7 linked regions of the Oryctolagus cuniculus genome follow. The protein of the gene in region 5 purifies or fractionates together with the protein of the main gene of each other region. This does not show direct contact. Links are inferred from orthologs where the notes say so. Each region holds a gene or a part of one and is shown on either strand. Other genes may lie near its edges. The genes, in order: STRN, STRIP1, STK4, STK24, SLMAP, MOB-like protein phocein and STK3.

Evidence for each region.
Region 1: the proteins of SLMAP (region 5) and STRN purify together in Homo sapiens (affinity purification with mass spectrometry; 5 studies listed by BioGRID and IntAct, with this or other methods). This does not show direct contact. The link is inferred for Oryctolagus cuniculus from reciprocal best matches to the Homo sapiens genes SLMAP and STRN.
Region 2: the proteins of SLMAP (region 5) and STRIP1 purify together in Homo sapiens (affinity purification with mass spectrometry; 4 studies listed by BioGRID and IntAct, with this or other methods). This does not show direct contact. The link is inferred for Oryctolagus cuniculus from reciprocal best matches to the Homo sapiens genes SLMAP and STRIP1.
Region 3: the proteins of SLMAP (region 5) and STK4 purify together in Homo sapiens (co-immunoprecipitation; 3 studies listed by BioGRID and IntAct, with this or other methods). This does not show direct contact. The link is inferred for Oryctolagus cuniculus from reciprocal best matches to the Homo sapiens genes SLMAP and STK4.
Region 4: the proteins of SLMAP (region 5) and STK24 purify together in Homo sapiens (affinity purification with mass spectrometry; 6 studies listed by BioGRID and IntAct, with this or other methods). This does not show direct contact. The link is inferred for Oryctolagus cuniculus from reciprocal best matches to the Homo sapiens genes SLMAP and STK24.
Region 6: the proteins of SLMAP (region 5) and MOB-like protein phocein purify together in Homo sapiens (affinity purification with mass spectrometry; 3 studies listed by BioGRID and IntAct, with this or other methods). This does not show direct contact. The link is inferred for Oryctolagus cuniculus from reciprocal best matches to the Homo sapiens genes SLMAP and MOB4.
Region 7: the proteins of SLMAP (region 5) and STK3 purify together in Homo sapiens (affinity purification with western blotting; 3 studies listed by BioGRID and IntAct, with this or other methods). This does not show direct contact. The link is inferred for Oryctolagus cuniculus from reciprocal best matches to the Homo sapiens genes SLMAP and STK3.

Annotation. Positions count from the first base shown.
Region 1 is NC_091433.1:165,960,928-165,964,622, reverse strand, and holds part of STRN (striatin), read right to left. Parts: intron 2,976-3,695; coding exon 2,889-2,975; intron 2,421-2,888; coding exon 2,277-2,420; intron 307-2,276; coding exon 170-306; intron 1-169. UniProt on the Homo sapiens protein: Calmodulin-binding scaffolding protein which is the center of the striatin-interacting phosphatase and kinase (STRIPAK) complexes.
Region 2 is NC_091438.1:60,289,540-60,293,776, reverse strand, and holds the start of STRIP1 (striatin-interacting protein 1), read left to right. Parts: upstream 1-1,271; 5' UTR 1,272-1,312; coding exon 1,313-1,492; intron 1,493-3,962; coding exon 3,963-4,032; intron 4,033-4,237. UniProt on the Homo sapiens protein: Plays a role in the regulation of cell morphology and cytoskeletal organization. Required in the cortical actin filament dynamics and cell shape. Part of the striatin-interacting phosphatase and kinase (STRIPAK) complexes.
Region 3 is NC_091442.1:14,199,308-14,203,713, forward strand, and holds the start of STK4 (serine/threonine-protein kinase 4), read right to left. Parts: upstream 2,975-4,406; 5' UTR 2,871-2,974; coding exon 2,836-2,870; intron 1-2,835. UniProt on the Homo sapiens protein: Stress-activated, pro-apoptotic kinase which, following caspase-cleavage, enters the nucleus and induces chromatin condensation followed by internucleosomal DNA fragmentation.
Region 4 is NC_091440.1:14,088,017-14,091,361, forward strand, and holds the end of STK24 (serine/threonine-protein kinase 24), read left to right. Parts: intron 1-180; coding exon 181-317; intron 318-1,733; coding exon 1,734-1,770; 3' UTR 1,771-2,733; downstream 2,734-3,345. UniProt on the Homo sapiens protein: Serine/threonine-protein kinase that acts on both serine and threonine residues and promotes apoptosis in response to stress stimuli and caspase activation.
Region 5 is NC_091441.1:92,023,734-92,027,428, reverse strand, and holds part of SLMAP (sarcolemmal membrane-associated protein), read left to right. Parts: intron 1-1,996; coding exon 1,997-2,134; intron 2,135-3,695. UniProt on the Homo sapiens protein: Associates with the striatin-interacting phosphatase and kinase (STRIPAK) core complex, forming the extended (SIKE1:SLMAP)STRIPAK complex.
Region 6 is NC_091440.1:69,971,404-69,975,525, forward strand, and holds MOB-like protein phocein, read right to left. Parts: upstream 2,945-4,122; 5' UTR 2,935-2,944; coding exon 2,257-2,934; 3' UTR 362-2,256; downstream 1-361.
Region 7 is NC_091437.1:124,350,049-124,354,376, reverse strand, and holds the start of STK3 (serine/threonine-protein kinase 3), read left to right. Parts: upstream 1-1,422; 5' UTR 1,423-1,682; coding exon 1,683-1,708; intron 1,709-4,328. UniProt on the Homo sapiens protein: Stress-activated, pro-apoptotic kinase which, following caspase-cleavage, enters the nucleus and induces chromatin condensation followed by internucleosomal DNA fragmentation.

The sequences.
Region 1 (3,695 bases), on a different chromosome or scaffold from region 5:
TAAAGTCATAAATAAAATCAGAGAAAAGAATCAGACCATTAAAGGACCAACAACAGAAATGATACTTGACTTAAGCAGAAAACAACAAAAGCAAAAATACGATGCTCAATATTTACAATTAAAACTGAACAAGCTATATACTTATGAAAACATTTTAAAAAATACTTACATCATAAGTTAGTGAATCTGCTTCATTGGCCACTGTAAGGCCTGCTAATTCTCCAAGTCCCAGTTCACTTTCAAGGGCTTCATCAGCTCCCATGATGAATGACTTCCCAGAAGAAGGAGGAAATGTTAATGCTTCCACTGAAAGGAAACATAACATACCTCTGAAGAGCCAATAATTAGTCTAATTTGCTTCTATCAATTTTCTTGAAAGGGTATGTATACATTTAATTATTGTAAAGTGCTTTTAAACACAATAAAATTCAGTGAGCAGAAAACCCTGAGGAATTTATTGCTTTATCCATACCTTAACCACAGCTGAAGGGATTAACTAATTAGAAGAGTAAAACAGGCCGGCGCCGTGGCTCACTAGGCTAATCCTCCACCTTGTGGCACCGGCACACCAGGTTCTAGTCCCGGTCGGGGCACCGGATTCTGTCCCAGTTGCCCCTCTTCCAGGCCAGCTCTCTGCTGTGGCCAGGGAGTACAGTGGAGGATGGCCCAAGTACTTGGGCCCTGCACCCCATGGGAGACCAGGAGAAGTACCTGGCTCCTGCCATCGGATCAGCGCAGTGCGCCGGCCGCAGCACACCGGCCGCGGCGGCCACTGGAGGGTGAACCAACGGCAAAGGAAGACCTTTCTCCCTGTCTCTCTCTCTCACTGTCCACTCTGCCTGTCAAAAAAAAAAAAAAAAAAAAAGAGTAAACATAAAACAAATCTAATAATCAACTGTTCTTCCCTTTTCACAATATAGAAAATATACAGGGGCTGGTGCTGTGGCATAGCAGGTAAAGCCTCTGCCTACAGTGCCAGCATGCCACATGGGCACCGGTTCAAGTTCCAGCTGCTCCACTTCCCATCCAGCTGTCTGCTATGGCCTGGGAAAGCAGTGGAGGATGGCCCAAATCACGTAGTAAACAGTATTCTGCCTCTCTTACAAGAATTCTAATTTATGTATGATACAGGATGGAATCTCTGATAAAAACTCTTTTTGAGAATAAGAGAAAAACTATTTTCCTCCATATCTAAGACCTAATCTTCAAGTAAATGAAACTGAGTAAGTCTTGTTTCCATAATGTCAGTGGAACAAATCTACTAGTGAACAGATCTACTGAGGACCACGATTTCAAATTTGTAATTCAAAAGACATGAATCTACCTCAAATAAATTGCACATCTAGAGTATGACACAATGATTCTTTACACGAGTAATAAATTACAACTATGCTAAATTACTCATGGGCCAAAAATTGCACTGAAAAACTATTCAAACATGAAAATTCGCAATCTTTTCACTTTATGTCTCTTTAACAATGCACCTGAATTCAAAAAAAAAAGAAAAATACAATTTTTATTCTGTGGCTTTTTCTCAGGCTGTTTTGTTCCATAAATATTCATTTGAATGGACATATAAATTGTAAGAAATTATAGTATTTAAGATCAAGGAAATTTTTAAAATAAAATTTGAAAAATTTTTATTAACAAAAATTATGTTTATGTGATCCTGGATTATCAGCTAATAGAAATGTATACTCTGAAATCAATTTTCACATATAAGCATTTTATACATTTATAATAGAACTTGTATCTAAAAGAAATATATAAGCATAAGATTATACTGTAAAAAACTGGGCACAACCTAAATACTGATCTCATATTAACTCTAAATAAATAATCTTAAAATTATAATAATAAAGTTATTGGTATGATCTTATATTAAGCAAATAAAGTAAGAAAGAATTACTCTACATGAAGACTAACCTATGTAAAACTATATGCATGTGGGTCAGGACTGAAAGGGAATGAGAAAAAGCAGAAAGTAGAAGATGTGATTAGACCTTCAGGTGACTTTTCCCCATTTCCATTTATCAGTGATAAGCTGCTTAAATATTTTTGAGTCTCCAAGTAATAACACTAATTTTCCCTTATCTTAAAGACTGAAGTTGAAATCAAACTCCCTTGAATGCAACAAAGCTTGCATTTAAGGAATTCCATATAGATCAACTATTTGCAGAATAAAATTCTCTCAAAGGTAAGAGTCCTTTCTAACATCTTAACTGAGAGAGATTCATCAAGTGCTTTCTGTGGCCCAAAATATCTGAAATACTTGCCTTCATCTGCCCTATTAATTTCATGTTCAGGAAGTCTGGAACTACTGGGTCTGGAAGGTGAACCGACAGATGGCTGCAATGAAGGAAGTTCATCAACATCTCTCAAATTAGCAAGCATATCTTGTAGTTTTGACCTATTGGGCCCTATCAAAAAAAAAAAAAAAAAAAAAAAGGTAGGGGGAGAGGAAAATAAAAAAGAGGAAACAGAATTATTCCACTGCATCAAAAAGGTACCATAAATCTTATTTCACATCCGTTGACATTCATCTTTAAAAATATTCTACTGGATTAATTATTTTCAAAGTTTTCAAATTATTTTAAAAATGTACTATTCCTGAAAACAATTGCATTTTACATGTATTTTTATAAGTGAATGCAATATCACATTTGCATAAACATGTATATCATGTCCATCTGGATCATTACAAGTAATATTAGTTTATAATCCAACCATTGTCTATCACGTTAAATGATGACAGATACCACAGATTATGAACCTACAGAGTACTAAATTAAACAATGACATCCCTATTTAAATTAAGACGCATTCAGTGCCTTCCATCTTGAAGCTATCATCCTGAGGTGAAGTCTTAGGCCCTGTCAGTTACTTACCTGAGCTTTGATTCTTCATTCTCCCACATCCCTGTTTTGACTGTTTTATATAGCATAGAGGCTGAAACAGATCTTCGGTAGTTTTTCCTGTTATAAGTTTAATTAAGAATGGGAAAATCTTACCCATAGTCCATTATGGTTTTTCTCCTATACCACCAAAGAATATAACTATTTTAAAGCAATTTTAACTAATACCTACAAATGTATTTCAAGACAGTATGACTAGAGGACACAATTTGACTGGAAATATTTCAACTTGATTATATTAAAAAGACTCGAACTTTCCTAGTGATTAATAATTCAATTTAAAAATTTATATAGTAGTTTGTAAACTAATGCTTCATGTATCTATTCAAAGCTTTGCTTTAGTTTTATTTTTATAAGCCTTCAGTTGTTCTCAACTGGTATCTTTTATCAATATAATGTGAACTTAAGATGATAAATGTGGCCAACGTCAGTCTACAGTCTAACTTCAGTGTACTATACTATAAAAACTATATACTATAGGCCTGAAAATGGACCATAATCCCCAGATTCAGAAAATCCAACTGCTTCCACTGGCAAGAATACTGTTCCAGTCAAATGGTGCAGTTTTACACCTCATGTGCTAAATTCCAACTACAGCAATACCTTGATATTTGATAAACACCAAATAATCAATGTAAGAGTCGATGGATTCTACACAAGTCCTGGCTACCCTTTTCTATCAGTACACTTTTACATTCAAAAGACATTAATTTTTGTAGTACAATGACCTAAAGAGATACACATGAGTAGTAAGCTAATCTGGAAAATGCTTCTCATTTA
Region 2 (4,237 bases), on a different chromosome or scaffold from region 5:
GGCTCCTGAGTCTTCTGCCTGACCAGGCCTGAACTGGGGCTCCCTTCTCTGTCCTTGTTGAATCCAGTTTGAGCAAGAATCCTGCAAAGTCAGTTTAACAAAAAACTCACCCTTGATGTGGGACCACTCTTGATGTCTCAGTACTCTGGCTGCCCCCAGCAGTAATCCTGTCAAGTCAGCTTAGTCAGAAACCTTACCCTTGATGCTTCCTCCTAGTAGTTTTTGGTCCACGGATCCTCACTTGTCCTTTTTGGAGGCAAAGTTAGGTTCAATCTCTCCCTTAAGGCAAGCCAAAGTTGCAGTGGCCCCTATACTTGTGCCCTGTTGAACAAATTCTGCCCTGATATCTTTAAATGTTTTTTTGTTTTTTTTTTTGACAGGCAGAGTGGACAGTGAGAGAGAGAGACAGAGAGAAAGGTCTTCCTTTGCCGTTGGTTCACCCTCCACTGGCTGCCGCGGCCGGCGCACTGCGGCCGGCGCACCACGCTGATCCGATGGCAGGAGCCAGGAGCCAGGTGCTTTTCCTGGTCTCCCATGGGGTGCAGGGCCCAAGCACCTGGGCCATCCTCCACTGCACTACCTGGCCATAGCAGAGAGCTGGCCTGGAAGAGGGGCAACCGGGACAGAATCCGGTGCCCTGACCGGGACTAGAACCCGGTGTGCCGGCGCCGCAAGGTGGAGGATTAGCCTATTGAGCCACGGCGCCGGCTCTGCCCTGATATCTTTAACAAGTGTCATGAATACCTTTTCCTCGAATACCTCACAGCCTTATTTCTCTAATATCACCCTTTTTTGTTCATTGTTTGGCCCACTAGGCATTTATGGACTGGGAGTTTTCTCTGTGCTATCTCACTGCTTAAGCATAGCAGACAATGAGTGCACGTGCCACACTGTGATTGATTTAGTCGTGCATGGCTACCCCAAATGAGTGCAAACTCCATGAAAAGGTCTTATCCATCTTGTTCCCTACGGTATCCCTAAGTTTTGAACACTGCTATGACATTGCTAAGTGTAAATCGATTTTAGAGGAAAGAGGGGGGCCGCTAAACAGACTGAACGAGATAGAGCAGGCCTCACACACAGAACGACATCTGAGTAGAACTGGAGAGAAAGAGCAGAAACTGAAAAGACCAAGAAAACCAGTATTTCAGCCAGGAGAAATATCGCGAGATGTCGGGCAGCCAAGATGGCTTCCCGCACTTGCCGCCACACTCAATATGGCGAACAGAGAGAGCGTTCCTGGAGGAAGTCACGCGAGATTTGCATCCCGGGGACTGTTCGTGAATTGAGCCGGGGGTGTGGAACAGCCAAGATGGAGCCGGCAGCCGGTGGTCCAGGCCCTCTGATTGTGAATAACAAACAGCCTCAGCCGCCGCCACCTCCACCGCCCGCGGCTGCGCAGCCTCCCCCTGGAGCACCGCGAGCGGGCGGAGGCCTCTTGCCCGGAGGCAAAACCCGCGAGTTCAACCGCAACCAGCGCAAAGACTCGGAGGTCAGGAGCTTCTGGGGGCGAGGCTAGGACCCGGCGGGCGGCGGCTGGGGGCCCGGGCTCGCGCTCGCGGCCGAGCTGGGCTTCCCGGGGGGTTCGGCGGGGCGGGACCGGGGAGCTGTCACTTTACAGCCGAAGGAGCAGGCAGCGAGGCTGGTGTGGCAGTTCCCCGGGCCGGGGGCGTGAGGCTGGCAGCGCCGCCCGAGACAGGCTCCCGGAGCCGGCATCCACCCGCTGGCTCCCGCGGACAAGCCGCCCCCGCCGCGGCCGCCGATGAAAAGCGGGCGCCCCCAGTCTCTTATCCTCTCGGTGGAGGGCGCCGACCGGACGGCGCGGGCGGGCAGGGAGGCGGCTGGCGAGGGTTTAGACACAAGGCGCCTGGAAGGCGGATGGAGCTAATGACCACTCATAGTACAGCGAGGCCGGAGCTTTCGAGAGCAGGGGGCGTTGCCTCTGGTGCAGGCTCCGGCCATGGGTTGGCAGTGCTTGGTGTGCCCAGAGCGCCCGATGCTGGGGGCCCTTAAAGGATTAGACGCACTCGTGCCGGGGACCCAGGCTTCGCTCGAGTTCCAGGGGCGCCGGCTGGGGAGCAGCTGACTGCTCACCTCGCCCCGAGAGAAGGCGTTGCTCCTACCGCTTCCCTGCGCAGATTCATGAATGAAGACGCACGTCGCAGCGTTGTAGGGCATCGTAATCAGCGCGTGCCAGAGCTCTTACTATGCAGTCTCCTTCACCTGACGCAATCCCGGGCCGCTCCGCCGACTGGCGCTGATGAGTGAGAGGGAGCCATCGCTGTCCAGGCGCAGTGTCCCCACTCTTCCCCGCCGCAGAGCCGGGATACTGGCTTTGGACGTGCAGGATCAGCTCCTCTCCGTCTTCTGTGCTTTTGTTGCAACCCCAGACCTCTGGTGTAAAACACTGGCAAGCTCAGAGTTGGAGCTGGAAGTGAATTCTTTGGAAAAGCAAAGGAAACCGACGTTTGTGGGACCCGTGGGTGGTGGGACATCCAGGAGGACGACTCAGTACTTTTTCAAGCACGGGGAGGTTGTGAGAGTGAGGGGCGTAAGCCCACCTTCATCCTGAGAGGGGTTATTTTTGAAAATGGCTTTACATTTTCCTGAGTAGCCATGACCAGTTGAATACCGTTGGGTGCATTTTCACGTCTCTTACTACCTTTTCATTTCCACCGAGACTGAACCCACGGGAGGCCAGGAGACTGTCTGCAGGTGTCTCCTTAAGGTGCAGAGGCTGAGTCAGGCGGAAGGCAGTAGCTGGGAGCTGGATCTATGCCTGGGAGATAGGGAGGCTGATCTCTGCCGAGAGCGCTCTGTGCTACATAATCCTGATCGGTTCTTAAAAACCTGCAGGGTAGACTTTCCTCATCCCCATTCCAAAAAGGAAGAAACTGGGGCTGGCACTGTGGCGTGGTGGGTTAAGCCATCGCCTGCGAGGCCCACATCCCATATGGGCACTGGTTCAAGTCCCAGCTGCTCCACTTCTGACCCAGCTCTCTGCTATGGCCTGGGAAAGCAGCGGAAGATGGCCCAAGCGTTTGGGGTCCTGCACCCGTGTGGGAGACCCAGATGAAGTGCCTGACTTTCGCCTGGCCCAGCCCTGCCTGTTGTGGTCATTTGGGGAGTGAAGCAGTGGGTGAAAGTTCTCGTTCTCTGTCTCTCTCTCTCTCTCTGTAACTCTGACTTTCAAATGACTAAGTAAAGTAAATCTTCTAAAAAGGAAAGTGCGAAGCTCAGTGACTTGGGAGAGGGGTCGTGTGTTGTCTCGGAATAAGGGGCAGAGCTCTTGTTGTAGATGTTACCTAAGACTGAGGGTGGGAACCGCTCTCTTCACCACTCTGCTATCGCGAGGCCTACAGGACGGTGTGTTCTGGGTAATCACCTGTGCCCAGCAGTGAAAAGGGTCTGTCGCATTCTCCTGTGTGTGGGAGGCGGGCCCATCTGTTTGCTGCCTTCTCTGTCAGTTCTCACTGCAGTTTGAGACAAGGGCGAGAGACTAAGAGTTTGAATGCTGGGTTGATAGCCCACTAGCTGCCTAGATTCTGGAATCCTAGCACTTTGTGGAATAGTGGCTTCAGGGCACAACGTACTTGGAAGCTTTGTGTTCGTTCATTTGAGAGGGATTTGAATATAAAGCAGTGGAGGACTGTGCTGGGCATTGTGAAATCGCTGCTGATCAACGTGGACTGACTTCCTGCTTTCAAGGGCCTTGCAGTCTCGTGGCGAGGTGGAAACTGGACCCCACATGCAGTAGTTACAGGCGCTCTGGAGGGACAGGATAAGGTGCTCTGAGACGGCTTGGTGGGGAGGAGCGCGGGGCTAGCCCAGGAGACGAAATATGGTGATCGAACAGCAAGCAAAGGGGAGGCAGTGGTTTCCTGGGAACAGTGGTGGCTCTGGGTGCATTTCTGTTTCCTGCTTTGTAAAGTACGCGTAACGCTGTCTCCTTTTGTCAACAGGGCTACTCCGAGTCACCAGACCTTGAGTTTGAATATGCTGACACAGACAAGTGGGCCGCAGAGCTGTCGGGTAAAGCACAGTCCTTTTGTCATCTGGGGGCAGTTTTCTCCATATTGGTCTTTACGGAGATTTACAATGTGTATCATTTTGGAATCATTTTTTCCTTAGTTGTATCAGTGATACACACACACACATATGTATGCATACATATATGTGAATAGTATGTTATTTTGTTTAAGTTTTGTGTACCTTGAAACTGGGTTCGATCGTTCTT
Region 3 (4,406 bases), on a different chromosome or scaffold from region 5:
TAATGAAACTAAAAGATAAGTCTACTGTGGTGCAAAAACATTGAGCCCCAAGCAGTTCTTCCCACAAGATGTCTGAAGTATCCTTGTATAATCCGTTTCCTTGTAAGACAAGACCAGATCACAGCAGCAGAGGGAAGACCACGTGAAGACACAGGGAGGAGACAGTCATCTGCAAGTCAAAGACAGAGACCTCAAAAGAAACCACCCAAGGCTGGCACTAAGGCCACCTGTGACACCAGCATCCCATGTGGGCTCTGGTCCACGTCCCTGCTATTCCACTTCCGATTCAGCTCCCTGCTAATGGCCAGGGAAAAGCAGCAGAGGGTGATACAAGTATATGGGCCCCGAACACCCATGTGGGAGACCTGGATTGAGCTCCTGGCTCCTGGCTTCAACCTGGTCTTACCCTGGCTGTTGCAGCCATCTGGGGAGTGAACCAGCAGATAGACAACTGATCAAGATATCTCTCTCTCTCTCCCTGTAACTCTTTCAAATAAAATAAATTAATTTAAAAAAAAAAAAAAAGAAACCATCTTGCCAAAACCTTGACTTCTGAGTTCTAGCCTCCAGAACTATGAGAAAATAACTTTCTGCTGCTTAAAACAGCTCGTCCATGATACCTCATAAAAGGCAGTCCTAAAAAACTAAACAAAAATCTATTAACCTGCTGCAAATTAGGAAGTCCAAGTCATGAGCAGGAGACACAGTCATTCAAGAACTCAGTCCTGCAATGCTCTCTTCTTGCACTTTTAGTACATTTTTTAAATCCAAAAGGTACAAGAATAAGCATGTTGGCCGGCGCGAGGCTCAACAGGCTAATCCTCCACCTTGCGGCACCAGCACACCAAGTTCTAGTCCCGGTCGGGGCGTCGGATTCTGTCCCGGTTGCCCCTTTTCCAGGCCAGCTCTCTGCTGTGGCCAGGGAGTGCAGTGGAGGATGGCCCAAGTGCTTGGGCCCTGCACCCATGGGAGACCAGGAGAAGCACCTGGCTCCTGGCTTCGGATCGGCGTGATGCGCCGGCCACGGCAGCCATTGGAAGGTGAACCAAGGGCAAAAGAAGACCTTTCTCTCTGTCTCTCTCTCTCACTGTCCACTCTGCCTGTCAAAAAAAAAAAAAAAAAAAAAAAAAAAAAAAAAAAAAAAACAGAGAGAGAGAGAGAGAATAAGCATGTCAAAAAGCAAAAAGATTTACTCCTCTGCCCGAAGATTATATAATCAAAGGCACAGGGAGAAGCAAAACTCAAGATCCCTAATCCTCTTTTCAATTAAACAAAGGTCTCAGAGAAGGAATCCAAGGAGAAGGAACGAATGTATTTCAGAAAGGAGCGTAAGTAGTGCACATTTGTAAGTGGCTCACTATGGTGCTGGAGTGAGCACCTGTTAACACACACAAGGACCTGTGACACAGGGGTGCTTCCAGTGAGGCACTTTAACAGCAGACTTTGGACCAAACCGCCTGGATACCAGGATCCCAGCTCTGCCTCTTACGATAAGGGGCCTCGGGCAAATCACCAGCATCTCTATGCCTCCGTTGTATTATCTGTAAAACAGGCATGTAGGAAAACCTGCCTCATGGGACTGTGAAGATCCAACCTGTCACTAAGAAACTGAACCACATGAAATTACCATTTTCATGTTCAAAAATGATCAGAATCAAACGGAAAGCACTTAAAACGGCGCCGGGCACCCCCTGAGCGCTGGGCGCAATACTAGGCACTGCTATTACAATCTCAGCATAGGACACTCAGGGGATCACCAGCCCCTCCGAGCCGCCTACTTGCCTTCTAGATGCGGGCCCCCAAGGGCGCTGCCCGGGCTGTCCGTCCCTTCCCTTCTTCACCTCTCGGTTGCCCCACACTCTCACACACGGAGCACTTCCTACTTTAGCGCTCATTCTGCTACAGGAAGTCAGATGTCTCGGTGAAACAAGCGAGCGCCACGGGCACCCCAGAGAAGCAGACTCTGGGTCTCTGCCCCCCGCTTCTCGCCAGATGGGGCGGGACGGCCTAAGACCCGGGTATCCACAAGGGAAATCAGCCCTACACGTGCACCCAGCGCCAGCCACCTCCCCGCTCTTGACCTAAAGCCATCCCAGGTAAAACCACAGAAGCTTCCAGTGACTCAGAGCAAAAACAGCGAACACACATGCGTCTCAACTCCTCTGGCTCTCAGTCTGCCCACCCTGGAAAATATCCTCTTACTTCCTTACCGACATGCTAACGCTGGATTTCGAAGGGCTTCAAAGGATGCGGGAAAAAAACTAAGAGGGCACTTTGGCTAGCATCCCGCCAGGGCGAGGGCACCACCGGGAGCCCCCAGGCGCTGCCGCCACGACCCCTCCCCGGCCACACTCGCAAAGCTTTCCGCCCAATGGCTCGCCCCCGGACTGCGCCCCTCCGGCGGGACTCAGGGCCCGGGCTTCCTCCCTGCTCCCTCTCGATCGAGCCTTTCAGCCAGACCCCTCGGAGGCCCTCCTGCTCCCAGGCGGGCATTCCCCGTCACCCCCGCGAGCCCCGTCTAGGACAGCTGTCCCGAGTGGTCCCTGGCCTCAGCCGGGGCTCCCCCTAACTTGCGCCGCGTTCCTCGGCAAAGTCCCGCACAGCGAGTGCTCCCCCCTCCCCGGCCAGCCCCCGTTTACCCGCTCCAGTGGGCGCTCCCTGAGTCGGACCCCCCCCCCCGCCAGACGTCCCCCTCCCACCCCAGCAGGTGCCCCATCAGCCGGGTCACCTCGCCCGCTGGTCCTTTCCCGCCCACACAGGGGTCTCCCCTCAGCCAGTTCCCGCCTTTTCCTCACTCGGTCGCCATGCCCCCCCGCCTGGCCCCTGGCCCCTCACCGGCGCGGCGGGTTCCTCAGCTGCACCGTCTCCATGGCGCTGCCGGCAGCCGCCCAGCCCCGCGCACTACTCCATCCTCCCCGGGACCTCTCCAGGCCCGCCCCGCAGACCCTCCCACACTTCCGCTTTCCGCCCCTACCGGAAGCAGCGCGCGGCTCGAGAGCGCGGGGGCGGCGCTGGGGACGCTGTGGGGGTCACGTGGTGCTGGACGTGAGTCACGTGTCGCGACGGGGCGCGAACCCGGAACCGCGAAGCTGCGGAGGCTCCTCCTGGCGGTGTGTGCTGTGTGGCTGCAAGCTGTGCGCGACGCTGGGTACTCGGGAAGCCACCTCGGCCTCGGATTGCCCCCGCATCTCTTGCCCGAGATACTGAGGCTGCCGGCGAGGCGCGGACTTGATTAGAACTGTTGATTCGTAAGCCCAGTTCTGAACGATTTGTCGGAGCCTATGCCGCTGCGGTGGCGCCTGGACGTCTTTGTACTGATCGTATCGGGTCCCAGATGGTCCCCTGCACATCCTCTCCTTGGCTGTGACAGAGCGCCAACCCACAGGTTGCTCCACCCTTTTTCTAAACAGCCTCACCTTTGGGTCTGCAGACATGAAAATGGCTACTGTTTATTTTTTAAATATCGTGGGAATTAGTAGAATGATTTTAAGGTTTATTCATTTGAAAGTCAGAGTTAGAGGAAGAGACCTTCCGTCTGTTGGGTCCCTCCCTAGACGGCTGCAACTGCCAGGGCTGGGTTAGGCCAAAGCCAGGAGCTTCTTCCAGGTCTAATACGGGAGTGCCAGGGGTCCAAACACTTGGGCCATCTTCTGCTGCTTTACCCAGGCCATTGTAGGGGAACTGGGTCAGAAGTGGAGCAGCGGGGACGCGAACTGGCTGGCTCCCATATGGGATGCTGGCTGTTGCAGGCCTCAGCTTTACCCGCTGTGCTACAACGGTAGCCCCCAAAATGGCTTTTATAGACACTTGGCTGACTTGATCTATTACCTCATTTAATCTGCATACGAAGCCTGAAAGGTTATCACCAGCATTATATTTATATCCTTATTTGACAGTGCTTACTACACTGTCAGTGTTACTAAGTAGTAACTCATTTAGTACTAACAGTCCTATAAATAATACTATTCCTATTTCATAAGAGCTGAGAGGTGAAATAGTTTCCCTCGGTGTCATACAGTTGTACAAGTTTGAGGATTTAAATCCACATGGATTTGACTCCAGAGGCTGCACACCAAACTGGGCAGCCAAGCTCATTTCTCGCTGGACCTGGAGACTGCTGTCTCCACTCGGAGCTCCAGTTCCCACTCTCACGATTGTGCAAGCTACCCCTTCAATAAGTGTTAGGAAAATGGCAGGTCCAGCAGAGAACTTAGACACAGAGCAACCTCTGTGATTGTCCTGCTTATCCCAGAATACAGCACCTACACCACACCTGAACAACTAGCTTTCAGGGCCACCCAAGCACGGCACCCCGTGTGCTCCCGGCAGGGGATAGGGCAGCGTTCCCCTGACCTAAGAGGAAGACATTTACTGAGAAGCTACCCTGTGCCAGACACAATCCTAGA
Region 4 (3,345 bases), on a different chromosome or scaffold from region 5:
GCTTTTCTGTAACGGCAGAAGGAGCCAGCAGGCACAGCCTCACGGTCAGATCTGGAGGAGGCACAGGAAGCCGCTGGTCTCTGTGCTGCCTGCTGCCCTGCCCTGCCCTGCCCTGCCCCTCCCTCTCGCTGCTCTCGGCCGGGACCCGCGCACTCAGTGCCCTGTGCTCCTGTGTTGCAGCTGAAGGAGAAGAGCCAGGCGTGCGGAGGGAGCGTGGGTTCCATCGAGGAGCTGCGTGGGGCCATCTACCTGGCGGAGGAGGCCTGCCCCGGGATCTCCGACACCATGGTGGCCCAGCTCGTGCAGCGGCTGCAGAGGTGATGTGCTCGCCACGCTGCCTGTCCCTTGGCGCCTCCTCCTCGTACCTGCCTCTCTTGTTCCAGGCCACAAGGCGAAAGTAGGAGCAAGTTAGGGCAGACGTGTCTGGAATTCTGTGCAAATCAGTAGGCGTGAGTGACAGGACGCCAGAAACCAGCTGCAGGGCCACGGGACCCTGCACGTTGCAGCTCTTGCCACAGAAGTATGGGCTGATGGCCACGTGTCTGCCCACTCCTGAGTGTGTGCCCAGTTACTATTCGGAGAGGTAGCGTGCGTAGCCCTGCGAGCGACCACTGTCCAGCAACACGCAGGCTGCGGCACAGAGAGCCAGCAGCCGCCTGCTGCTCGGCCTCACTCCCGCTTCTGGCCTTAACCCTGGGGGATCCCCTCAGACTGGGAGCGACTGTGCGTGAAGCGCTCCAGAGCCTGTCTCCATCTCAGTTGGGGTTCGCTGAATTCTCTCGTGTTGTCAGCTCGTCCCATGATCTCATTTTTTAAGTTCTGGAAGCTAGAGTCAGGGTCTGTGGCTAGCACTTGCTGTTAAGAGACTTTACGTAACCATGAGTGGTCTGGGACAGCGCCGAGGGCTGGAAAGTTTGAGGAAAGTCACCAATACATCCTTGGCCAGGTTCTGCACCGTAAAGGGTGACAGCATCATAGAGTGGAGACTGCGTGACCCCTGGCCCCCGACCCCGTCACCTGCTGCACTGCCTTCCCTTGTCACATGCGAGCCGTGAGCACGTACCAGGGTTGTGAGTGCACAGAGGCCTTGTTAGACGTGGCCTGGGACATTGTGCGTTGCCCAGGACACAGGTAATCCTGTGCATACTTGCTAACTGGTGTAGATTCTTCATCTCACTTAGAAGTACAGGTCATTAGAATCTTAGTCTGTTTCATCCAGCTTGCATAATTTACTCACCTGTTTCTTTGTTGTTGGGCATAAAACTTTTTTCTTGTGATCATAGTAAATTTTGAAACATCTCGAGAGCGGTCTGTCTCCACACGTGGCTACAGAGTGGGCTGCTTGGATGAGGTCGGAGCTTTTGTGACTGGAAATGGTTGCCTGCGCTCACGCCCCCGCCACGTGCGTGCGGCCCGGGCGGCTGTGTGGCTGGGGCTTCCCCATTAGCTGTTGGAGGTTGCCGAGTCTGTGGGGAGTCACTTCCGGCTTCACTCCCGGCGTCCCTGCGGCCAGGCCGAGCACGTCCTGCCGTGCTGTTGTGCCCTGTGCAGGCGTCTGTGTTGCAGCCGTGATGCCTGTCATCGTCACGCGTCGTTTGGATGGTAGACTGATGACGCTGTTCATGTTGGCTCCATTTACGTTCCTGCAGCTTGGGTTGCTGTTGCCGTTGGTTCGAGTCTTCCCGTGGGGCCTGGAGGCGGCACTCACTCGGCTCCTCTTCTCTTCTCCCCAGGTACTCTCTGAGTGGCGGAGGAACCTCGTCGCACTGAGACGCCTTGGCATTTTGGGTTTTGTGTTTTTCTTTCTTCTTCATCCTCCTCCTTAAGAGTCAAGGAGAGCCTTTGCTGACTGCTGAACAGGTGCGCGGCCCAGGGGCCGTCCCCCCGGCCGCCGGCGCCCGGCGCGGGACACGTGGCGGCCCTCGCCGTGCCGCGGCCAGATGAAGTCTCCGGGACGGATGGGGTGGGGCTGTGCCTGCGCCTGCAAGCGATTGTTTTATTATTCCTGTTTTTACTTTTCACCATAGTGCACATATTCAAGGAGAGTGTCTTTAAAACTCACACAAACCGGAAGTGTATATTTGGGATTCCGATCAGGCAATGCAGACGCGAAACCTCAGGTATCCTGCTTCAAGCTGACAGCTCCCCCGGGAGACGCAGAATCGCTCTGGCGGGTCGGTGTACAGATCTGTATATAGTGTCATTTTTACGGAAACCCTTTTGGCGTGCATAAGGAATCACTGTGTACAAACTGGCCAAGTGCTTCTGTAGATAATGTCAGTGGAGTAAATATTTGACAGGCCATAACTTGAGTCTATTGCCTTGCCTTTATTACATGTAAATTTTGAATTATGTGAGCAGTGACTTGGGTTTTATTTTGTACTTGCAGGGTTTGCCATGAGTAATAACTCCCGCTCCTCTCTGTACCTCAGCACAGGCGCCATCCCCTTGGTACACTTAGATGTTGGTTTCCTGTCCCATTGATGGTACTATTTCTTGGTGTTTTAAATCGGAACATATCTTGTCTCATGGAGCTTTAAGTTATTGTTTCACGTTTCTCCCGGATGCCGCGCCCTGGGCCAGCCTTTGTTTGGAGTCGTGCCACTGCCGGTGTGCGCCGGATGTACCGTCTTCTCCCAGTACGATTTTCTGTTGCACCTTGTAGTGGAATCTGCATATCATTTCTGCCACCTAAAACGTCTGAATGCTTACACGAATAAATTTTATAACACACTTACCTTGCATACTCTCCTTGGGACGCGGCTCTGCGGAGCCCAGGGCGGCCGTGCCGTGTATGTATGTGTGGCTGCATGTGTGCCAGGACGGCAGAGGGGCCAGTGTCCGTGCCCGCCCCCTGCAGCTCGAGACGGGCCCTGGAGGACATGGCGTGGCGCTCGCCTGGAGGCACCCTGTGGGTTTCTGGGACGGCGATTTCTCCTGCCCTGTGGACGTGTGTTGATGCTGCCAATTGTTGGGAGTGGCGGTTCTTGGGGGAGCAAGGCAGGCAGTGAGCGGGTGACCCTCAGGGCGAGTCTCTGGCTGGCCATTCCGGGGAGAGGGGCAGAGGCCGAGCCGGGAGTGTTGGAGGGATGCTGGCTGTTCTGACTGGTGCCAGTTGTGTTTTCAAACTCTCAGGATGTTCTCGGAAGTGAGCTTGGCTGGAACGGTTAGTGTCTGAGGGATGCGTTTTGGTCGGGGATAGAACCAAGGTGCTCACCCTGGCCTGTGGCTAGAATGTGGCTGGGACAGGAGACTGGACAGCGTTTTGTGTCTCTGGAGAGTGTGTTGCTGCGGCAGGAGACAGAGTTGCCCTGAGAGGATCCCTGCTCCCCAGGGCAGACGCAG
Region 5 (3,695 bases):
AAGAGCGAGGTAGAGACAGAGAGAGAGGTCTTCCATCCACTGGTTCACTCCCCAGATAGCCATAACGATCCGAAGCCAGGAGCCAGGAGCTTCTTCTGGGTCTCCCATGTGGATGCAGGGGCCCAAGGACTTGGGCCGTCTTCTGCTTTCCCAGGCTGTAGCAGAGAGCTGGATGGAAGTGGAGCAGCTGGGTCTCGAACTGGCACCCATATGGGATGCCAGCACTTCAGGCCAGGGCTTTAACCTGCTGTGCCACAGCACTGGTCCCCCTCAATATTAATCTTTTAAATTTTTTCTTTATTTGAGAGACATTGAGAGAGTTCCCATCCACTGCTTCATTCCCCCAAATCCAGCAAGAGCTGGGGCTGGTCCAGGCCAAGGCCAAGATCCAGGAGCTTAATCCAGGTCTCCCATATGAGTGGCAGGGAGGTTTATCTCCTGCCTCCCACTAGAAGTAAGCTGGAATTCAGAGCAAATCTGGGTCTCATACTCAGGGCCTCCAATATGAAATGAAGGCTTCCCAAACTATCTTAACCACTAGGCCAAATGCCCACCTGCATATTCATCTTTATTGAGCATAATGGTGAACTCCTTATTAGTCAATTCAAGATACTTATATTATTCAGAAGCACTATTATAAATATTCCTTTATTGAAGAATTTCTAGGATGTACGTAGATTAGGATTTAGAAACTTATATATAATATAATAGCCTTGTAGGCTATATTGAAGGAAGAAGTGGAACCTTTCTGATATGACACATCCATGGTATATTTATTTTCTATTCAGTACTTTATGCCTTGCTTCTAAAAGCTTCATATTTGATAGGGTGGGGCAGCAGAGTCAGGGACAGAGGCACATCTATCAGCAGAACAGGTTCTGCTCTTTGACTGGAAGTCCAGCTTGCAAGGAAGATGTCTGAAAGTGGAACCTGTCTAGAATTCCAGCCTTCTGGGGCCATTTAAAGTAGGGGTGGGTCACACCACATTTCACATTGGTCTTGCCTATGCTCAAGGGAGAGCTAGTTTATCTGAAGGTCAAATTATATACAGTGAACCATTTTCCAGGGCAGGAAGTAGCAAATTTCACTATAGTAAAACTTTTCACAGATTTCTAAAAATATTTTTAGATTTATTTATTTTATTTATTCGAGAGAGAAAGAAAAATATTTCCCATCCTCTAGTTCATTCCCCAAATTCCCACAGTGGCTGGAACTCAATCTAGGTCTCTCACAGGGGTGGCAGGAACCCAACTACTTGTGTGATGACTTGGTACTCCCATGGTGTGCATTAGTAGAAGCTGTAATCAGGAGAGGAGCCAGGACTTGAACCCAGGTACTCAATATGGTACGTGGGTGTCCCAGATGGTATCTTAACTGCTATGCCAAATGCTCACCCCTAAAATTATTTTAATTGATGCTTTTAAGTAGAGAGATCAAAATTTTCCAATCATAGTGGTAAGTATTTTTGATACATTTCTTTGCTTCATTTGGCTAGAAAACTCAATCAGAACACATTAGTGCCCAGTGATGCTGGAATGCTGGATAAAGAAAAGCCTGTTGGGAGTTAATGTCTTTTTACTTTGAGACTAAAATAGCTTGGCTGACTTTGTCCAGGATGTAAACCCAAGCTTCCTAATACTGCCATTTAATTAGGCTATGGAATTTTTCTTTACTTGCTTTTCTTTTGCTCAGTTTAACATTTTGCTTTTCTCCTATAACTTACTTAGTGGAAAATGTGACCTTTTATATTAGAAACAGATGACAAAATGGTGACTCCTGTTAATTCTTTTTTAACTTCAGGGCCAGAAACTTCTTAAATAGATTCACGTCAACATTAAAACATGAGCACGCAAGATTCTTAGCTTGCTTAAAACAAAAAGCCTTAACTTTGATGTTGCAGTTGACTAAATAGGGTCTGGTATATAAGCCTGAATAAAACCATAACTTCATACCCATTTTAAGTTGAGTCTGCACACTCTTTTTTCTTTGCCTTTAGTATGAAAAGACACAGACTGTACTCTCAGAACTGAAGTTGAAGTTTGAAATGACTGAGCAGGAAAAGCAATCAATCACAGATGAGCTCAAACAATGTAAAGACAACCTGAAGCTGCTCCAAGAGAAAGGAAATAATAATGTAAGTCTTTGCAAACTTGGCTTAGCTTTGACTGAAAGGCAGGTGAGAAACTGGAAATTGATTTTCAGTGGACTTTATTACTGATTTGGGAAGCTAATGGCCTGGGGTACAAATGAAATAAGCTTTTCATTATGAAATTCCACAACGGAACCATTGTATTGTCAATATTTTTTAGTAGGAATTTGCCCTTTTAACCTGTACCCCTAGAAGAGCCTGAGTACTGCCTGGACGAAGAGCCCTGTTTGCAATCAAACAGCTTACCTAAGAACTGTCAGCTTTTCCCACTTAAGTCTGAAGTTCTGTCACTAAGCCATCATCTGGCTCTTGTTCCTCCTCTGCTGGAAAATGAAGCACTGTACCACCAGGGATCCATTTAAGGAAAAGTATTACATGTTGACCCTTAGCATTTGGTTGTGTCAAAAACAATGGAGCCTTATTTATGGTTTTCATTTTATACCAATAATGTTCTCACTGAGGCACATCCTAAAAAGCTTAGTGTTTTCTTTGGCATCCTGTAAATAAGAGGAAATACTTGGTGAGTTTCTTTAGGGCTTCTTGAGAAAGAGAGAGAGATGGAGAGAGAAATGGAAAGGAAGAAAGAAAGGAATGGAGGAAGGAAGGAAAAAAGTTTAGGACGTTCTGGTACTGGTATAAATTGAGTTTAATAGCATTTATTTCCACTTGTTAGAAAGGCAGTGGTCTGTAAAAAGATGTTATACTAAATAAATGTTGTGTTGTATGTTTTGGTGATCATTGCCTTTGTGGGCCCTAACTGGTGAATGTTCTGTGTGGTTGGTTGTGCTCTGACTTATTTCAAATCCTTGTCACGGCTTGAACACTGCAGTGGGTTTGAGCCACATGCTTCCTACGGAGGAAGGCACTCTGCCTAACTTGCAGCACGTGTATAAGATTGATGTTGCATGGCCATCCAGTTACGCAGTTGCACACAGAATGCTCAGGAATTGTGTCCAACTGTCCTTGGCTTAAGAAAGTCTTAGTTTGTAAACAATAAAGCTTTGCTGCTTAGGTAGAAACCTTTTAAACAATGGTGAATTATTATATATGGAAGCTTTATGCTAAGTGAAAATAGATTGCATTTTTTAAGAATAAATCTACATTTTAACAGATAGATTATTGAACTCTTCTAAAAACCAGATCTTAATAGTTTGATTACTTCTTCTTTTGTATTAATTCATATCCCTCTGATTATGGAATTTCAGTCTACTTCCTGTTAAGTAAACCTATGAAAACGTGGCATAATAAAAATCCTCTGTACTATTTAGAACCTTTTTAAAAGTAGGAGTACTATTATTATTTGTAGTTATAAAAAAAGAGTCTACCGTAGTGTGAATTTCCTTTGTGATATTGAACTTAAAGTACTAAAATAGTACTCTGTAATAACATTCATGGAACAATTCCCTCTCAGTCATAAAAATTAATTATATTCTGGTAACATAACTGAAAGTCCTGAGACTCAGACGCCTTTTTTTTATATACCAAGGGGTTATCAGGCATTGTGTTACATCTCTTTCCAGATTTAGGAAGTATGCATTATCAAGGG
Region 6 (4,122 bases), on a different chromosome or scaffold from region 5:
GGCACACACACACAGAGAGAGAGAAAGAAAAAGAGAGAGACAGACAGAGAGAGACACAGAGAGAGAGAGAGACAGAGAGAACTCCATCCAGATCTTCCCTGTGTGTGGCAGGGACCCAAGTACTTAAGCCATTACCTGCTGGTTCCCATGGTGCAGATTAGCAGGAAGCCAGATCAGAAGCAGAGTAACTAGGATTCAAAGCAAGCACTCCAGTACTGGATGCTGGCATCCCAAATGGCAACATAACTGCAGCACTAAACACTTGCCCCCTCCACCCTGCCTTTTTTTTTTTTTTTTTTTCTTTTGGAGTTTTTTTTTTTCTTTTATGATCAATTCCAAACACAGTACAGGGAAGATGGAATGAATACGAAAAAATATCATTTTATTTCCCCATTAAACACTAAGTCATATTATTCAAAATGTGTTTCAAAATCCTTAGCCAGATAACCAATTCCAGTCACTATTTTAGTTCTAATGTTCACCAAGAAAATAGTCAAGTAACAGAAAGCCATTATGAGAAACCATCAAGAGAGAAGAGCTACATTGCTATCTATAATTTAACTTAGTAGGTTATTCTCTCAATATTCAGCAAGTTTGCTTAAAAATTACTATTCCATTAGTTTATAGTGACATTAAAAAAAAAAAACGTATAATTTCAAACTCAACATTCCTTTCACCGTGAACATAAAACTTCTAAAAGATAGCTGTGAGTTGGGGTACAATAAGGACTGTGGCTGCTGGGACAGTACTGTTCAAAGCCAAAACGATTGGCAGCCTTGGAAAGGCATAAACTATATACACACACTCTCAGTATGCTACTATTTCTCATATTTTTTTCTTTGCATACTTGTCTCATAATATGGTATAAATAATTTCTTTGAAGACAATCAAGATGAATACATTTTCATCTTCATTTCAAAATAACTATTTTAAATGAAAAATTTTCTCACATTTGTTAAATATGTCTTAGAGATGAGTTTAAGTATTTTCTTCACTACATGTATAATTTTTCTACCCTATCTTAGTGCCTCATTACAATCAATTTGGCAATAAGACCTCTCTAGTACTCCATGAAAAACTGCATTCAATAGATTATAAGATCGTTACATCTGCACCCAAATTCTTATATGCTACAACAAAGTCTAAAAAATGTATGGCCATTCATCAACACCCTTGCATCAATTATTGCAAATAACCTCACATATGTATTTAATTCAAATTTTGTGGAGAAAGGGTACAAAATAAATACTACAATATTTCTTTAACTCTAATGCTGCCTAGAGTAAGATGAAAAGATTAATATTACTGAGAGGAAGAATCAAATGGCTTTAAGGTCTGTCTTCCAAGTAGTTAGAAAATTTTCACAAAACAAAGAGCCTATGCCAACACATCTTTCTTGTAGTGTAATATAATTGCTAATATGAGGTAAATCTGTAAGCAATTAATACAAACATGAGTATAAACAGGTATAAGTCACCACTAAGTCACAGTCTGGTGAAAGACTTCTCAGCTAAAGTATCTGGGGACAGGATTATGGGAAGTGAGAAGGGGGTGAACAGTTTTCCAGTGGGAATACCTTTTATGTGCCTTATCATTAGCATCAACTTATATGTAACAGTCCACTGCTGTAAAAAGGTATATCCTTTCCAAGTATGCTGGCCTAGAATATACTTTATATAGCATAGTAAGATTATATAAGAATTACTAATGCTTCATTTGCATTTATATTTGGATATACACATAATCATAAATGCATATCAAAAACTATAAACAGAATTTTAAAGTACTTTTATCTCATTTTGGAAAAGTTTACAGTTTATGTTCTATAGAATTTTCTATAATATCTAAATTCAGGGACAAAATGAAAGGAAAACATTACTATCTCTTTAGTAAATGGTTTGTGCAAGACCTCAAGCTTACTCATCTTTTTATATATGGGTTTATTTGATGAGGATTGTAATCCAATGATTGTTTAGCAGCAATTTTACCAAACTGTAAATTCTTTTATTAACAGGCATTATAAACAGATAATACTAATCTTATTTAAAAAACCATGAGTGCCACACCGGTGAATATACAGCTTATGAATAACTTAAAAAGTATTTCCCCTTTTAAAAGGCAACACACAGCATACAAAAACCTAATCTAAACAAAGAAGCTATAATATGAATACATGATTGATGTGTCTAAAATGATATATACAGTACATAATGAACGTTAATTATGTGATCAGTACATTTTTCTGTACGATTCCCTTCATGCTTCACTTTCTCCAGAAACTGAATTCTGAACTTCCTCTTCTAAAATTGGTACAATCAGGTTATCCTTGGACATCAAATTGTATTTCATCACAAATTTAGTAAACCGATGACACAAAAAGGTTTCATTTTCATATTCATCAAATATCTGCCGGTGATGAAAATAAGCATGCGAAAATATTCTATAAATCCTACGGCATACTGATCCTAGTTTTGCTACAGATGATTCCTTTATGCTAACCCTGCTAGGAAAATATTTATTGCTATTCAGAAGACATGCAGCACCATCAAGCGTGTGTCTAGTATAGTCTATAGCAGGACACTCTTTTGGAGTTTTATGAGCTGCACACAGAAAAATCCACTGTTCAGTTGCTGTCATTTGAGTACAAGTATCTGGATGGCATTCACTCTGAAGTTTGACAGCAAGTCCATTTAGCTCAAGACAGAATTGCCTTAAATGTTCATACTTCCATACACCTTCATCTTGGCCTTCAGGTGGTTCAAGAATTTTATCAATATTGGAGCAATCTGCTCTTATGTTCTGCTGAATATACTGCTGAACAGCAAGTGTACTGTCCATTTCATCAAAGGATTCATCAGGCCAATTATAGAAATCCTGCGCCTTGGTGCCCGGCCTGTTCCGCCTCAACACTGCCGTCCCCTCCGCCATGACCATAGTGCCAGAATCTCCACCCTGCCTTTTAAGAAAATTTCTATTCATCTGTGAGTTTTTGAACTCCTGTGACCATGCATCACTCTGGACTTATGTTGAGAACTGACCCCAGGGAGGCACGCATGGGTGCAGAGCAACCTGGTAGGAGATATGATGGTGCTTGGCTGCCACAGGAATGCTGTAGTCATACCATTAGAATCTGGATACACACAGAGGAAGTGAGGGAGGGATGCAGGAGGGGAGGGAGAGAGGAAGACAAAAAAGAATCTGGATATTCTTGCTAAGGTAGAGCCACCAGGAGGAATGGTTGCCGAGTGAGAAACAAATGAAAATTATATATATATGTGTGTGTGTGTGTGTGTGTATTATATATATAAAAGTGAGAACAGTAAATGTGTTTTTAAAAATTTTATTTTTTAATTTTGATTTTCAATTAGTTATAAGCAGTCAATGTAACATGTAGATACAATTCTATGAACATAGTGATATTGCCTTCCTCCTTCCCTCCCTTTCCCTCTCTCTCTTGCTCCAAAATCTCTGAAATATCCCAAGAAATCCTAAAGAACACTAGCCTTTGACCATTAGTTCTGATGTTCCCTGTCTTCATGATGCAGTTTATTTTATTTCCTTGAAAAGTAGAGTTGCAGAAAGAGAGAGAGGGAGAGATGGGAGAGAAAGAGATCTCCCATCTACTAGTTCACTCCCCAGATGGGTGCAAGGCTGGTGCTGGGCCAGGCTGAAGTCAAGAGCCAGGAACTCGGTCTCCCTCATGAGTGCAGGGACTCAAGCACTTGGGCCATTCTCCACTGCTTTCCCAGGCACACTAGCAGGGATCTGGGTCAGAAGTGGAGAAGCCAGGACTCCAATCAGTGCCATAATGGGATGCCGGCATTGCACGTGGTGGCTTAACCTGCTATGCCACAACGCCAGCCCCATGATGGCAATTCTTACCAGTGTCCTTGGCCATGGCTGTTAGTACTGGCATGTCAGCTCTTTCTCTCTGGTAATTACATTGGCAGGACTCGGTCTTCCTGTATTTTCTCTTGTGTGAAGCCTGAGACTACCCTTTCAGTGAGCTTCAAAATTTGCATGTTGGCTGCAAAGAGAAAAGCCATTTACTGCTTCCCTGAGAAGTTGGCTGGCTTTTTGCAATAATGGCTTTATTTGGACACATGTACAAAGACTTAGAAG
Region 7 (4,328 bases), on a different chromosome or scaffold from region 5:
GGGAGGAGGATTGGAAGTGGAATAGCTTGGGCTCAAACTGGCGCCCATTTGGGATGCTGATGTTGATGTCCAGGGGAGGCTTAACCTGCTATGCCATAACGCTAGCACCAGAATGGGCTCATTTCAAAGGCTCTTTCCAGTTTTAACGTCTTAGTGATTTAGTGTATTGTTGTTCTTCTTCTTGTTATTTCTGAGCAGACTGTGGATCTTTAATAAATGCAAAAATGCATAAAATGTTTAATCTCTCTTCACAGAATTTGACTTTGTTTCAATAATACAAGATCTTTGTGAATGTAAAATAACAAAATTAGGGGAGCATATAATGGTTTAAAAACAAATCCGACCAGCCTAGCCCCAGCTGTTGTAGGCATTTGGGGAATGAACCAGGGACGGGCGCTTTCTATCTCTGTCTCTCAAAAAAAAAAAAAACAAAAAAAAAAAGTAAGCTTATTACAATGAAACTTAAAATAATGCAAAAAGAAGACTAAGCTTGTCTAGACTGCTAATAGACAAGATCAATTTAGGTTAATATTCATATTATTCAACACTTTTTTCATTGTTCTAACCACCAAAAAAGCCCCGTACAACTGTACATCTTGGCGACTTCTAACGAAAACTAGCAAATTCGTAATGTCGTGGCTGTATGTGCTCATTAGAAAAATCATATGCACGAATTTAATCAACACACACAATATGGATGAATGAGGGCGTCAAATTACAATAGGGTGAGCTCTGCTGGGAGCAGGTTTGGGGGAAAGGCCAGAAGAAGGAAAGCCACTTTCTTTTCTAGGCACCAGAAGTTGTGATAAGCTTGCCAGCTTATCCATCCGGCCAGAGAGCAATACCCCGGTGCACCGAACCTTGGTGCCGGGAGAGCTCTCACTACAGCAATTATTTTCTCTGTAATTAGACGTAATTATTGTGAAATGTAGCGAGGCGCACAGTCAAAATCAAACCAGAATTTCCAGAAGTATCCTTAGTACTGAAGCTACAAATGTCAAATGGCTGGGAAAAAACATAACCAGTAATTATAAACAAAACTAGAGAAGGAAGCGTGGGCAGTTAGTAATACTTCAAAGGCCTTTGGGATGCACCCTTGGGAATCCAGAGAAATGAGTCCAATCAGATGCGGGCAAGTGCAGAAAAGGCAGGAGGGGTGCAGCTCTGGCCCCGCTCAAAGGGACGCGCCCCGCACCTGCCTAGGCCGGCTCCGGGATCCCGCGAAGGCCTCATCCGGGTGCTCGCCCACTACCACCTCCGTCTTTCCCTCTCCGAGGCAACGGCCCGCCCCTTCCTCCGCCCTCGTCTCCACCTCCTCCCCACCTCCAAGGCGCCTGGCTCCGCCCACCCACCCTGAGCTGAGCCGCGGCCGGCCACGCCCACCCAGCGCAGGGCCAGGCTCCGCCCACCCCCGCCTGGCCGCGGCCGGCTCCGCCCACCCAGGGCGCTGGGCTCTACCCGCCGTCTCAGGGCCGCTGCCGGCGGCCGAGGGGCGGGGCGGGCCGGGAGGAGCCGCGCTCCGGAGCGGGAGGGAGATCCGCCGTGGAGTTACGGGAAAGTTGGTCCGAGTTCCCGGAGTTTTTCTCTGTGGTTCCCTGGGGCTCGGTCTGCCGGCACCCCGGCTCCATTCCTGCCTCTGGCCTTCGCGGTCCATCGGGTCCCTGTTTCTGCCCCCGGCCGCCATGGAGCAGCCGCCGGCGCCCAAGAGGTAACGAGCACTAGGAGCGGGCAGCCCGAGGGGAGCGGCGGCCGCAGGGCGGAGGCGGCTAGGCCGGGCTCTACCGCGACCCTCTCTCCGCCTTGCCGGGACCCGAGCCTGGCGCGCCGAGGGTCGGGAGGCAGGTCCGAGTGCCCGGCGCCATCTGTCCGCGGGGCGACTGGGCCTGAGGGGAGTGGGAGCCCGCCCCGGGCCGGCAGGGCCTGGCGCGCGTGGGGAGTTGGGTGGGCAGCGCCAGGCTCCCCCGGGCCTGACCTCCGGGGCCGGGCAGGGTTTTCCCCTCGTGGCGAGTTCACGCAGCCTGGAAGCCCTAAAACTAGGAAATTATGTACAATTATTTACAACCACGTAGGCTCTCTTGTCAAAGTATTTTTCATAATATTGTCCCCCCCCCATCCTTTTTGGGAAAAGGCGGGTTGTTTATTTACAGTTAAGGAATTAAATATTAATAGCCACAGAGTTTGTAAAACTTACTGTGAGTATGCCGCACTGACAGGTGTTCCTCCTCCTCCCCCTCAAGTTCAGAAGTATTTGTGGAGGCAAGACAGTAGAAATCTTAGAACCCTCCTCCATCGACTTTTGCATGTATAAATAGTGATGCTTTGGTATGGTATTCATCGTTATTTGCTCTTTGATAGATTAGCAATGTATGTGTACAGAGTAGATGTGTTAAGTATTTGCAGTGATCTTAGGAAGCTAAATCAAGGTTATTCATTGATGCAGGTTCATAATGTGCGTTTTCACCTTAAGAGCGAATCAGCTTATTGACGTTGGATAACACATTTAACCTCAGTCTTGTTTTTTTTTTTTTTTTTTAATTTATAAAAAATAAGGGCACTTCTCTCTCTCCTGGGGAGAGCTGTTGTGTCGATTAAAGAGTTCATGTGCTTTGATGCCTAGAGATCTTTAGATGAAAGGTGGAATAATTAAAAAGGTGGGAGCTTTGGGAGCTGTTGAGAGTTGTGAGACTAGAGACCTGTGTGGCCTGGAAACCATCTGTGCAGGGGGTGGGGATGGGGATGGGTGTGTCCTAGAGGGATTTTTCAAAAGGGCTATCAGCTAGGAGAGCCCAAGGTAACGGATAAATTATTTTCTAGAATTTTCTAGGGTGTCTGTATTCTAGTACTCACTGGGCACTCCCTTTGCTACTACAGAGAGAATTGGGCCCTTTTTCTTTCCTGTGTTGGGAGGACTGTAAGTGGGACACCTCTGAGATCATGCCAGAGGCCAACTTGAAAGAGTTTGAATGGAAGCATCGGCTCTGTCTGTTGATTATTTCTGCTGTCAGTTCTGCCGGTTGCATTATAGGTGTAAGAGAATCTGTGGCCTTGCAGAGACACTAGACAATCTGGAAGAGTCTGGGGGAGGTGTGGGTGGTGGTGCCATGGTGATTTATACTTTTCAAAGTGGTGGTTGCACATTAGCAGACTTATTTTTAGCTCTTTTCAGAGAGACTTATTTTGATACAGGAAGGCATTTCTGAAGAGCAAAAGATGCGTGAAATGAATCCTTTATATTTAAATATCTCAAGATTTTTTCATGGCGTTTTCCTATCCATAATATTTAATCCTCACACCAACCCTGTGGAGAATTTGGATTAGAGGCATTAATCCTGGTTTATAGATGAGGACATTGAGAGAGTTTCCACAGGGGAAGAAGGCTATGCAGGAATTACAGTGTATATTTGTGTTACTCCCTTGATCATTGCCTTCTAGTAATAAAATATAGCTACTATTTTTGAGATCATAATATTCACTAGGAAATTTATACAGTCAAGCATTGCTTAATGACAAGGATAGTTCTGAGATATGTGTCACCAGGCAATTACACAGTCATGCGAACACCATACAGTATACTTAATTAAACTGAGACAGCTGTGATGGATGATATATGGCTAGGTGATGTCATCTTTTGGGACCATCTTCATATGTGATCTGTCATAGACATGAGGTTCATGACTATATATACGTTCTTTTATTTAGTGATTGTTAGAAATAGTAATCCTGGCTCCATTTCTTAGTATATTAGTATGTTCTTTTTTATTTTTATTTTTTGAAAAATTTTTTTTATTTGACAGAGTTAGAGAGAGACAGAGAAAGGTCTTCCTTCTGTTGGTTCACTCTCTAAATGGCCGCTACGGCCAACGCTGTGCTGATCCGAAGCCAGGAGCCAGGTGCTTCCGCCTTGTCTCCCAGGCGGGTGCGGGCACCAGTGCCCTCCCTGGCCACAGCAGAGAGCTGGCCTGGAAGAGGAACAGCCGGGACTAGAACCCAGCGCTCATATGGGATGCCGGTGCCACAGGCGGAGGATTAGCCAAGTGAGCCATGGCACCGGCCTCTTTTTTATTTTTTAAAGATTTATTTTTATTTATTTGAAAGACAAAGTTACAGAGAGAAAGGAAGATACAGAGAGATCTTCCATCTGCTGGTTCACTCTCCAAATGGCCACAATGGCTGGGACTAAGCCAGGCAGAAACCAGGAGGCAAGATCTTCTTCCGGGTCTCCCACGTGGGTGCAGGGTCCCAAGTACTTGGGTCATCTTCCGCTGCTTTCTCTGGCACATTAGCAGGGAGCTGGATTGGAAATAGAGCAGCCGTGACTCGAACTGGTG